Danio rerio: one gene and its partners. The protein of the gene in region 2 binds, or shares a complex with, the protein of the main gene of each other region. Links are inferred from orthologs where the notes say so. Each region holds a gene or a part of one and is shown on either strand. Other genes may lie near its edges.

Evidence for each region.
Region 1: ints2 (region 2) and ints12 share a complex: the UniProt entries of both Homo sapiens proteins name them as parts of the integrator complex. The link is inferred for Danio rerio from reciprocal best matches to the Homo sapiens genes INTS2 and INTS12.
Region 3: the proteins of ints2 (region 2) and ints7 are in contact, whole or in part, in a cryo-EM structure (PDB 8RC4), measured with the Homo sapiens proteins. The link is inferred for Danio rerio from reciprocal best matches to the Homo sapiens genes INTS2 and INTS7. Residues at the interface, in NP_065799.2 of Homo sapiens: Gln27, Lys28, Val29, Cys48, Arg51, Met52, Cys55, Ala56, Ala58, Asp59, Gln60, Ser61, Trp64, Phe92, His93, Ala186, Glu187, Pro189, Ile194, Val218, Asp220, Ser221, Asn223, Glu224, Ser259, Leu262, Lys263, Arg265, His285, Gly294; in NP_056249.1 of Homo sapiens: Leu38, Gly39, Glu40, Cys42, Glu43, Val46, Arg47, Asn77, Phe78, Leu81, Cys82, Leu84, Lys85, Gln88, Gln89, Asn114, Asp115, Pro116, Val117, Ala120, Ile121, Arg124, Val153, Glu156, Val159, Phe160, Ala163, Leu195, Lys196, Pro199.

What each region holds. Positions count from the first base shown.
Region 1 is NC_133176.1:28,088,433-28,092,625, reverse strand, and holds the start of ints12 (integrator complex subunit 12), read left to right. Parts: upstream 1-1,251; 5' UTR 1,252-1,555; coding exon 1,556-1,711; intron 1,712-1,795; coding exon 1,796-1,957; intron 1,958-2,051; coding exon 2,052-2,236; intron 2,237-2,630; coding exon 2,631-2,790; intron 2,791-2,874; coding exon 2,875-3,027; intron 3,028-4,193. UniProt on the Homo sapiens protein: Component of the integrator complex, a multiprotein complex that terminates RNA polymerase II (Pol II) transcription in the promoter-proximal region of genes.
Region 2 is NC_133185.1:32,939,506-32,943,158, reverse strand, and holds part of ints2 (integrator complex subunit 2), read left to right. Parts: intron 1-3,090; coding exon 3,091-3,221; intron 3,222-3,327; coding exon 3,328-3,498; intron 3,499-3,653. UniProt on the Homo sapiens protein: Component of the integrator complex, a multiprotein complex that terminates RNA polymerase II (Pol II) transcription in the promoter-proximal region of genes.
Region 3 is NC_133195.1:14,373,686-14,378,000, reverse strand, and holds the start of ints7 (integrator complex subunit 7), read left to right. Parts: upstream 1-1,373; 5' UTR 1,374-1,471; coding exon 1,472-1,565; intron 1,566-3,294; coding exon 3,295-3,424; intron 3,425-4,315. Other genes in the region: dtl (denticleless protein homolog), read right to left, coding at 1-33. UniProt on the Homo sapiens protein: Component of the integrator complex, a multiprotein complex that terminates RNA polymerase II (Pol II) transcription in the promoter-proximal region of genes.

The sequences.
Region 1 (4,193 bases), on a different chromosome or scaffold from region 2:
AATCCAGTTAGACTAAATAGAAGTGAAGCATGTCGAAATCAACAAAATGCTTAGAAGACCTATAGATGTGTGGCACTTACCTTTTTTCTGGGATGTATTTGATTGGTCTAAGTGACTGAATAATTCTGAAAAATTATTCGATTCGTCTGATATATTTAGAACAGCTGTTTTAGTGACAGCGCCAGCTACTTGAAACCACAGAGAGATAGAAATAGCATCTATGCGGTGTTATTATTGTAAATGCTGCTGTTTGGATTCTTATTGTCTAACCCCTGCGATCTGGGACAAGAACCCCCGTCACACCAGAACAGCCAATCAGCTTCTTACACTCGACAACACAATTATGACGCTCCTACAACGCATTCTTTTGACCCCTGTCAACAACGCCATAACGGGCAAGATATGCCGTTAAATTCGCACAATAAATGGTCTTGGATGGTTATAGAACAATAAGGTTTTGAGAGTTTGTTACGAGACGTTATTTACCTATTTGGTCAAGGATATTTCAATTTTACGCACTACGTAGCATTTCCTTGTGTTACATTTATTAGTGTCCGGCTGATATGATTTTTAAGCTGGTTGATAAGCTCGCATTCCTGATGATTTTAATATATTAATACATAGTGATATTTTTAAAATAATTTGCAGGCTGAAATTTCATGTCGAGGTGCTGTTGGTGAAAATGACGGCGGAAACGAAGCGCTTATGTCGGTATGATTTAGTAGAAACACAAAAGCGTCATTAGAAAGAAATAAAAGAACAGTCGGCAAACATCATTATGATCACCAGTTATCCAGTAGGGGGCACTTGGTGGCTCAGAATGCAAAGCGCTATCAAGCCATCAAAATCCTGCAGAGAAATTTAAGAAATTTACAAATGTTAGTAAATAGAAAACATGTGTCTAAGGCAAGTCCATTAATTTCTAATAATTTGGTACATAATTCTCACCAACAGGTTATTTTTAATCTAACAATAAGAACTGACAAGCAGTAAGAAAAACAACAACTATCACGTGACAAAACCGTTGGCGTGTTGCTTCATCTTTTATGTGAGCAATAGTTTAAATAGGACACTTTTTAAAATAAATATTGTTTTTACAAACAATTTTTAAAACATGCCAAAGAGAGATAAATTAAAATGTAAATTAGCACAAAAACAGAAAACAGATTCATCCGACCAATTAGAGACAACCTCATGGCCACTAAGCCACGCCCTATTGAGGTCCCCATACTTTTCAAGCGCTTTCTTTCTACTTGCTCTATTTTAATTCGATACTATAGTCGGATCATTTCAAGCATTGCTAAGTTAGTTAATTTCTGCTAAGGATAATATCTTGTTTTTTTTTTACGGTTTATAAAAACGTTCCTTAAACAAAAGCTTGAGCACAATCCGGTGTCAGTAAGTTCATGTTGCTTTTGTTAGCTCAGAAAGACTAGATATTGTAGAGTCTGAAATGAAGCTTTTCTAGTGTTATCCGAGAATATAACATCGTAAACTCCATAAGTAGAGGGCCGGGTCATTTTCTTATGTTAAATTAGATAATAATCGCTAAACAATGGCTGGGACAGTAAGTCTAGAGTTAGACCCTATCTTTCTGAAGGGACTGGGGTATCTTCACTCCAAGAGCAAAGACTCGGCAGAGAAACTCAAGGCCCTGCTAGATGAGTCTTTAGCCAGAGGCAGTGACTCCATCTATAGGAATTCAATTAAGGTGATCAAATCAAGAAGGTATTATTTTTTTGTTTTTTATTAGTAGATTTTAAAAAAAATATTTAACTCGTTATCCATTGAATAGGAAGCTGAAGTGAGCAAAGTGTCATTGCCAAAAATGACAAAACAAGACTCCAAATCCTCCTCAAGTTCCTCAGCGTCATCATCCATCACCACCACCAGCAGCAGTAAATCAAGCACCTCAGAGAAGTCCAAGAAAGAGAGCGAGAAAAGAACTTTGGAAAAAGTCAGTTTGCACTAATATTCATTTATGATTGTAAATGTGACATGACTGGAAATTCTCAGCATAATTCACTTTTGAATATTTGTATGATTTAAAGATTAGGGTTGATCCTGGAGAAGGAGTGGAGCCGCCTAAGAAACCTCGTTTAGAGAAGCAGGACAGTCATTCCTCTCCGATTGCTTTTCAAACCAAGGACATTCCCATTCCAGATTTCACAGATATTGATGAAACCAACGCTGATGACTTTGCCATGGAAATGGGTCTTGCTTGTGTGGTTTGTCGGTGAGTGATGCCACTTCTGATGGAGTTTTCTTCGAATAAGTAGCTATATGTAGTGGGAATGTGAGTGTGTTAAAAGTTACAAAAACACACAACTATTGTTGTTTACTAACAGGCATTAATTTACTCATAAAAATCTGTATTCATTTGTTTGTTCAATATTCATCAGTATCTTTCTTTATGTTTATCAGAAGAAAGATACTTCAACTAAAGGTTTAGAGCAAGTAAAGCATGAGTAAATGATAATTTATTTTTTGATGTTATTTGTGAGTGTTAGATAAACTTTTTTGGATTTTTTTTTTTGTGTCATTACACTGATGTCGTTGATGTTCTCTGAATCTTTAATTTATTTTCGGCCATTTTAATTCGAAATGTATCTATATTTCTCCTCTCTCAGACAAATGACCGTCACTTCTGGGAATCAGCTTGTGGAGTGTCAAGAATGTCATAATCTTTATCATCAAGAGTGTCACAAACCTCAGGTTACTGACAAGGATGTGAATGACCCGCGACTGGTGTGGTACTGTGCTCGGTGCACCAGGCAAATGAAACGAATGGTGGGAAGTGTATGACAATGAATTTTATGCGTATCACTGAAATAATAATGAAATATTAACTGTTATGTGTTTTTAATATCTCAGGCCCAAAAGACTCAGAAACCACCACAAAAGCCAGCTCCTGCTTTGGCAACAACAGTACCTTTGTTGAAAGATCCGCTAGTCAAGAAAGCTGAACTAAAGCCAAAACCTGAAACGACAGGTTCATTCCAGGCCTTTAAGAGAACAGAAGTAAAGGTAAGTGTATTCACAGCAGCATAGCAATATTAACTTCTTTTCAATGATCTGATCACAAGTGGTCAGCAGAAGGTCATTTTCACCTGGTATTATCTTAGGTTATAATGTGTTCAGACTTATCTAGATCCATTCTTTTCATTTTGTTGTTTTCTTCACATTGTTCACTTTAACAGCATATTTTGATTACATTTTTATTCCTAGTCTTTTGATTAAAATCAAATTTAGTATTACTAGTCATATTACTAGTAGTATCTATATTCTACTGTAGATTTATTTAACTAAATCTAATAGTTGAGTTAAATCAAATAAATTACACACATCTCAAATTTCTAAGCTTATTATGTACTTCTGGAGAACACACTTATAAACATGAACAATATTAAGGTTTGAACAAAAAAGTATTTTGGTGTCGCTTTAGCCCTGTGCAATGGCAAACCGAAACAAGTTCAAGTCTATTCATGTCTAAAACACCAAGTCTACACAAATTTACATTTTTTTAAAACTTATTTTTATAAAAGCGTAAAAACAGGCGAAAGACCATTTAAACCCCAGGCACTGTTATGGCCCGTTTCCACTGAGTGGTACGGTACGGTTCGTTTTGGTACGCTTTTATGGCCATTTCCACTGTCAAAAGGCATACCGAACCAAACCGTACCGTACCACTTTTTCGGCACCCTTTCGAAAGGGTCACAAACTGCAGAAAGGGTCCCAAAAGGTGGAGCTACATGCGCAGCTGAATGCTATTGGTTAATAGAGATACGTCATTTGTAGACTCAACAAGCCAGAATGTAAACAAAGGACCTGCCATGTTTAAAATACACAGCGAGAGATTACACAAAATTATATCTACATATGCAGCCATAGTCGATCCGGGCTCAAACAAACCCTGTCGCCGTCTTGTTAAACAGCCACAAAGCCATGGAGAAGAGCAGATTTACCCTGTGCCGCGTAGTTTTTTTACGAGCCAGTCTGAAGCCTGAGTGGTTTCACTTTTTTTCCTTGCGCTCGACGCGCGTTATCTGAAATAACTAACTTCTTTAGCTGATAATAATAACATGCGCTTGATTATTGACAAGCTTTGGAAACCCGATCCTGTGAGAAGCTGACAAACGCGAGAGTGACACATTCAGAAAGAAAAGGACAAACGCGGGAGTGGAGCGCGGAAA
Region 2 (3,653 bases):
ACCAGCGAAGAAACATAAAAACCTACTGCTAACTAGCGTTTCTGAAGTGTTATTGCAGAGCAACAAAAACAGCGGGCAGAAGTATAAATGCACGGCTATGCGCATTGCATGCGCAGTGGGTCACGCCGCTTACTTGACACAGAAGTATAAACCAGGATTAATTTCTATACAATGTGTGAAGCTGCCTGGTTAGTTCCTATCACATGACTCGTGGTTCACTCGTGGCACTCTGAAATGCTTTGGGGGTTTTTAACTCGTGGCGCCTGGAAAACATGAGCCTGGCATACCCCATGTGTGTCTCTTCCTATTTTCGCAATGAACCTGCTCGTTAAAAAGACGCTATAACCTATTTAAAAGTCCCCTTTTGTTGACTCGTAATATCATTCCTGCACATTGTAAGGCCCTGTTTGCGGTTGAATTTAAAATAAATAAATACTTCATGCGGGCCAATCAAAGAAGTCCGTGCAGGCCGTAAATGCCCAGGTCTGTTTTAAACCCAAAGAATTACTTAATGACTTTTTAAAGACGGCATCTTATAGTTATCTGTCATTTTCAGTTTACATTTATTAAATTGCAGATTGTCTTAATAAAGTCATTTAGATGTGTGTGAGTCTTGGATCAGGGTTATATATACATTTAATTTAATTTTAACGTACCAAAATCAGTGTGTTGCGTTTTTCTCCATTGACTATAAAGCCACGCGAAACTTGGGTTTACTTTACATTTGATCTGCTTTATGTGGCGGTTGTACGATCATCCAGAGGTGGCGAATTTCCATTTTGATGAGTTCGGCTGCTGATTATGGGCAGTTTGGGCTTGGGGGCGTTTGTGTCTCTTTATGTGTATATGTGGGTTTTCCTCAAAGACGCACTAAGTGGAAATAAAAACATTTTAAAGTCTCTGCTATCTTTTCATCACTCCCAGGTCCTTGTTGAGTCAATAGCTTATTTGTGCGAGGCTCCATTCAGAGCCAGTTTGAAACGTTTCATATTATTGAATGGCCAATTCTCAAGGCTCATTACCTAGACAGGATCTTTCATTGGGAGAATATTCTGCTCAAGGCTGAATCATTAAGGGAAAGAGCTTGTCTATAGAGATACACTGTAATCAGATGCAGGATGAATTGTGACGGACTCGGCTGCGTTTTCTCTCAATCAGCTGTTTTTTTCTTCTTCATAAGAGACTATTGAAACTAATATCATTCCTGCACTGGGTTATAAAAGGCTCTCTGTAATTCTAATCATTCTGCGTGGCAAGCTGTCATCTGTGGTTAAAATCACAGAATAAAAGAAAAACAGCTATTTTAATTCAAGGCCAGAGCTTAATTCAGAGCCAAATAAAGAAACGTTTATTTAAAGATGTTTGTGGGGATTATTTATTCCTATCTGAGCCATAACGTAGTATGTTTAGCTGTGGATAAAATTATTTTCCCAATATAGCCAAAATATTTCAAACTAAATATTTCAAAGTTAGATTTTTCCAATATCGTGCAACCCTAGTGTCACTCATAGATTTGTGTGTATGCATGGTTAGTGAATGAGACCCAATGTGTCTCAGTGGGAAAAAAATTAACAACAGCGCCACACAAATTCAATGTTGAGGGGTTAAAAAATGCCCCAACACAGCTATTATCAAAATGAGAGTTTTTGCATAACTTACACTAGGCTAGTTATATGGTTATATTGTTAGTTAATATGGATTTTGTGTAATTTGTGTAAGTCCTGAATTTAAAGGCCTTTTAAAACAGTCAACAAAGAGCTCACATGTCACTTATAAAAAGCCTAAAAGATCATAATTGGTATCGACTGATCATGATGAAGAAATCAGTAGTCAGTATCAGGATCAGCAAACGGAAAATAAAATAAAATGTTTTATGAAATATTAAACTTTAAAAGTGATAGAAAGTTTGAAAGATAATTTGGTTACACTTTAAGGTACAGTTCTTGCTAATAACAAAACATTAACTGTGACTTTTAGCTCGATAAACTCCTAATCTGCTGCTTATTAATTGTTATTAACTAGTAGTTAACTTGTATTTGTTCTTCTGTTAGTGATTTTTAATTGTTCTCAGTGAACAACGTTAGTATTTTTTTATTATACACGTCAATACCAGCTCCATATAAGGGCTTTCCACAAAGCGGAAAGGTTAGGATTAGGGATGTAGAAAAAGATCATGCAGAATATATACACTGTAAAACCCAACAATCAACTTGATCAAATGAAATGAGTGTAGTTAACTCAAAACTTACCAAAGGTTTATTCTACTCATTTGAAAAGAGTTTTGAGCTCAGTGTTGAAGGTAATGAGTTAATTAATACCTCATTACTTTAACTTAAATAGAGTAAGTTCACAGTACTCGTATAGATTAGTTTTTAACTCAAATGGTTTGTAGCATTCGGTTTGAGTTGCCTTAACTTATTGGGTTTTACAGTACTCAGTTGGTTTGAGTTCTCTTCATTTATTGGGTTTTACTGTGCTTAAATTGTTTGATTTAAACGGATTAAGTTCACACTACTTATTAGGATTAGTTTTTAAACAAATGTTTGTAGCAATTGGTTTCCTCAAATTGTTTGAGTTACCTTTACTTACTGGGTTTTACAGAGTACTTTAAAAAATCTTATAAAAAGCCAATGTCGTATTCATAAGCAGGTCATTAACCACTGGCTTAATGATAGTGAGAATTTGTACTAAAAGTCTTACCAAACATTTATTTTACGTGAAATATTTTATTAATTTTTATCTATTTGCTGTCAGTTTTAAGTTGTTTAATTCATTGTATTTTAATTAGTGAATTGCAATTAATATAAATTTATATAAATACATACAGGCATGCGTATGAAGTTTATTTACATTGATATGAAATATGTTTATATGATAAAATTTATATATACATTTAAATATCTACGTAAAACACACAAAGTATGTTAAAGCAAACTTTTATTTTGGATGCGATAAAGTGGATTAATCTTTGGCCAGCATGAATTTTATTTTAAAATAGTCTTTGAACTGAAATGAATGTAATGAAACTATATTTTTATGTCATTTAAAAGCAGTACATTTATTCCAAACTCTTTCCTCTTGTGTGTCCAGTGTGCAGAGGGCTGATAAAGAACGGAGAGCGGCAGGACGAGGAGAGTGTTGGTGGTCGCCGCAGGACAGAAGCTCTCCGGCAGCTGTGTCAGATGAACCCGTCTCAGGCTCTGAACATCAGGGCCATGGTGGTGAGTGTCCGGCTCGAAGACCACCTGTCATGCCTGGTATTAGACTGCAGCTAAAGTGATCAGAGCAACGTGATGTACTGAAGTCAAGCCCTCTGTCCTTCTACAGGTGGAAGAGTGTCATCTCCCAGGCCTCGGCGTTGCTTTGACACTGGATTATAAGCCAGACATGGCAGATGAGGCGGTCAGTCCTCTGGTGTCATACGTCAGTGGTCTGCTTTTAGGCACCAATGGAAAAGTGCGCACATGGTTTAGTTTGTTCATTCGCAATGGACAGCAGGTAAAGAACAGTGGAACTACTTGGACATAAAGTGTCCTTTTTACTTATTTGGGATTGTTTAGTCAAACGTGAAAATGTACTCACTCTTGAGTGGTTGTAAACCTTTATGTGTTTCTTTCCTCAACACAAAAAGAAGATATTTTAAGGAAAGCAGA
Region 3 (4,315 bases), on a different chromosome or scaffold from region 2:
CCCTCGATCAACAACATGGTGAAAAAGAGTCATCGCTGCAGGATGCAAGTCGCGTTCAGAAGTGGTAAGTTTCCCGCGAACAATGAAAAAGCGCTGAAGACGAATTCCCCGCGAGATGGACGAACAGTGTTCTAATTGGTCGACACGTCAGGAAACAGGAAGTGTTAAGCCACTGCGAGCGGAGTGGAATGGCTGCGAACACTAGAGGCGCCATGTGGCCCCAAAAAAATCCGGGTTAACATTAACATTAACAATATATATATATATATATATATATATATATATATATATATATATATATATATATATATATATATATATATATATATATATATATATATATATATATATATATTCATTATTTCATTTATTTCCTTTTTGGCTTAGTACCTTTATTGTTTTGGAGTTGCCACTGCGGAATATGGTTTTACGCAGCGGATGCCCTTCCAGCTGCAACCCATAAGTGGTAAACATCCATACACACTCATTCACACACACACACAAACACACACACACACACACACACACACACACACACACACACACACACACACACACACACACACACACACACAAAATTTAGCCTACCCAGTTCACCTACAGCATATATTTTTTTAACCCACGCAAACACTGGAAGAACATGTAAACGCCACAGAAACACAAAAACTTAATCTTATTAAGAATAAAAAACCCTAAAATTCCTGAAATATTATACAGATGTAGGAGATGCTTAAGTTTAGTTGCTTTCCTTTTGGTTATTTGTTTAAGTGTCATTGTAATTTCATTCATTTGTTTAATTTAGTTTGTTTAATTTAGTAATTTTGTTATTATCATAATTTTATTATTATTAATATTATAATTATTAATATTTTCCCTTTCAGTCTAATGATATGTTATTTGTATGTGTTTGTGATAATTTTTATGACTGTGTATACTATTGATCATTTTAAAGTGATCTCTGGGATCCTTTGGATTTTGTTCTGATAGCAAGCAATAATATATATATATATATATATATATATATATATATATATATATATATATATATATATATATATATATATATATATATATATATATATATATATATATATATATATATATATATATATATATATATATATATATATATATATATATATATATATATAATTTTGCAAATGATTAAATAAAAATTATGATAGCATGAAGAGCCTAAAAGCTGAGCAGAGGTTTAGACTAATCAGGGTAAATGCCGACTCATAAGCCCCGCCTTCTTTGGTCACCTCTTTGGGTCGCTTTCGCTTCTAGCGTTCCTTGTAGCGCAACGGAAACCCGACGACGAAACTGGCGTTGTGCGTCACGTGACCTGCTTTACAACCGGGTCACACTTCAAACTTAATGCACAAAATCTCCATCTGATAAAACAAATAAAGTGTTAAATCCGAGAGCAGTCTATCGGGTTACATTTTTTGCAGTCTAATAATAAACAATGTCGCTTTCAGCAGCGCGTTCGTTTCTTTCGGAGGCGGCATACGGCGAGCAGGAGCTGGACGCCAATTCAGCGCTGATGGAGCTCGATAAAGGTGGCTCTTTATAAACAACACACGTGTATTTGTTTTTTGATGCAGTGTGTGTGTGTGCTATTTTAATGTTGAATATCATACATTGTATCTGTTCGCATGAAAAAGCTCTTCTATAATTTTATTATGTAGGCTACTACTGTACTTTAGTCTATACTGTGCTTTGTTTTCATTTTTACAGAATGTTTTAGGGATGTAACATATGTTATGGAAAGATCCAGAATTTACGCAACCGTCAAGTAGTTTGACTTTTATGAGTTTCTTCTTCTTTGCACACGCCACACGGGTGATAAAATGCTTTAATTTTAAACTACTAAGGTCTAAAAAGTGCTTAGATTATGGATGAAGTGCTTGGAAAGTAATTGCATTGCTTTCATAATCATTGATCTTACTGAACGTACAACATTGTTTACAGTCAAAAAATTGTGCTTATGTTGTTTTGAAGTCACACTTACATGTGATTTTATACTGAATATTCAAAGTACCATGGTAAACGCTATAGGGAGCGTGTCACAAGTTGTCAATGAACAAATGTACGAATATAAAACCAACTTTACCTGTCTTATTAAACGGGTAATAACAGTGAAAATTACTGTTTAAATAAAAGTATAATAACTCTCATTGCTTGTGCATAAAATGAAAATCTGGGGTCTGTACATAAGCCTGTAGCATGATCTGCCTTCTATCTTATTTTGTCTGCACTCCTTGAGTATAAGATGAAATTAGATACATCTAAGATTTAAGTAAATGACATTCATATAAAAAAAAATCTTATGAATAGAATCTGATAAAATGTAATAAAGCATGTGTGTGTATGTAAATGTGTAATATGCCACACATTTACATACACATGCATTCAAAAAATGTGCATCTGAAAAGTGCTTAAATTATATAAAAAAGCATGCTGCAAACACAAAAGAAGATACTTTGAACAATGTTCAAAATCAGTAACCTTTGACTTCCACAGTAGGACAACAAATGTAGGTCAATAGTTACAGGTTTACAGCTTTTTTCAAAATATTCAATTCAATTCAATTCAGCTTTATTTGTATAGCGCTTTTACAATGTACATTGTGTCAAAGCAGCTTCACATAAATGGTCATAGTAACTGGAACAGTGTGGTTCAGGTTTTAAAATATCTTCTTTAGTGTTCGACAGAGTAATAAAACTGAAATGGGTTTAGAAAACAAACAAAGGATGTGACACTAAAAAAGCAATACAGTTGAAGTCAGCATTAATAGCCCCCATTTGAATTGTTATTTTTTTTTTTCCAGAATAGTGTTTAACAGAGCAAGAAAACTTTCACAGTATGTCTGATAATATATTTTTTTCTTTTTGAGAAAGTCTTATTTGTTTTATTTCAGTAAGAATAAAAGCAGTTTTTATATTTTTAAGAAACATTTTAAGGTAAAAATTACTAGGCCCTTTAAGCTATATATTTTTCCGATAGTCTACAAAACAAACCATCGTTATAGAGTAACTTGACAAATGTATGCTGTTTGTTCATTTATTTAAAATTAACAGAAACAACACAATTGTTAAGTTTTATTTTGGGAACACTTAGTTGTTTTAGATTCAATCAACTAAAATTTGTAAAATCTAATAATATAACTTAATCCATTCATGCTATTGTGGAACCCAACATTTTTACAGAGTATGAATAAAAAACATACATATTTGAGCGTGAATCATTCCTTTTACTCACACACTTCTGATTTTGTCTTTGCTCCAGGTTTACGGTCTTGTAAACTGGGCGAGCAGTGTGAAGCCGTGGTCCTTTTTCCCAAACTCTTCCAGAAATACCCGTTCCCCATCCTCATCAACTCTGCCTTCCTGAAGCTGGCAGATATCTTCAGACTTGGGTAATTGCACATATAAATACATACGAATTATGTCATGTTTAATAGTTTAGATATGGTAACAAAATTGTCAATAGCTGCTTTTCCACTATCGTGCTGAATCGTTCTTTAAGCAGAACCGTTCCATTCCGTGCCAAACCAGGCCAGACAGGACGGATACGGTTTCATTTTCCACTGTCCTGCTGCGACAAAGCTCTTTAAAAACATTACACAAACCGCATCAGTAGTTGCCTTGGTTAACGCAATGTAAACAGCTCCCTTTGTTCAATTAAATTTAAATAATAGCCGAAACTAGTTTTTTTCATGTTCATAAAAGTGAAAGCAACCATGTGACTAGCACTGTTATGCCGCTCTATTAAATAGGGTTGCTAAATATAGGTAGGCTACATACGTCAGCACCCTTATTTATTTAGAGGTATGTTGTGCGGATCTGGCTAAATTTTATTTAGGGGGAAAATTACCAAAATATATCGTGATTAGGGATGTAACGATTTATCGTTGTACGATTTATTGCAATGCAAAAATGTCTCTATGCATCGTGGTGTTATGACGATTTGATTACGATATGACGTCCGTTTTCTCTTATTAGTTGAGCTGTTTGCACGTGAGCTACGTTCCACCTGCTGTCGCACGTGAGTTCAGATTGCAGCAGCAGTAATGTTAGCAGACCAAGATGAGTGGAGCTGATATAGAGGATGGCCCATCCTCTCAAAATCAGACGTCTGGCAACATTTCGGTTGTACAGTCATTGCTTTAGACTCGTCCGCTTTTTGACACGCATACTGGGTCAAACATCCTAAGTTTTAAAGTCTTCACAGTGATTTACATACTTTGCACAGCGACATGGATACCTCCTAATGGTGTTGAAAGAGTCACATACTGTATTTATAAGGT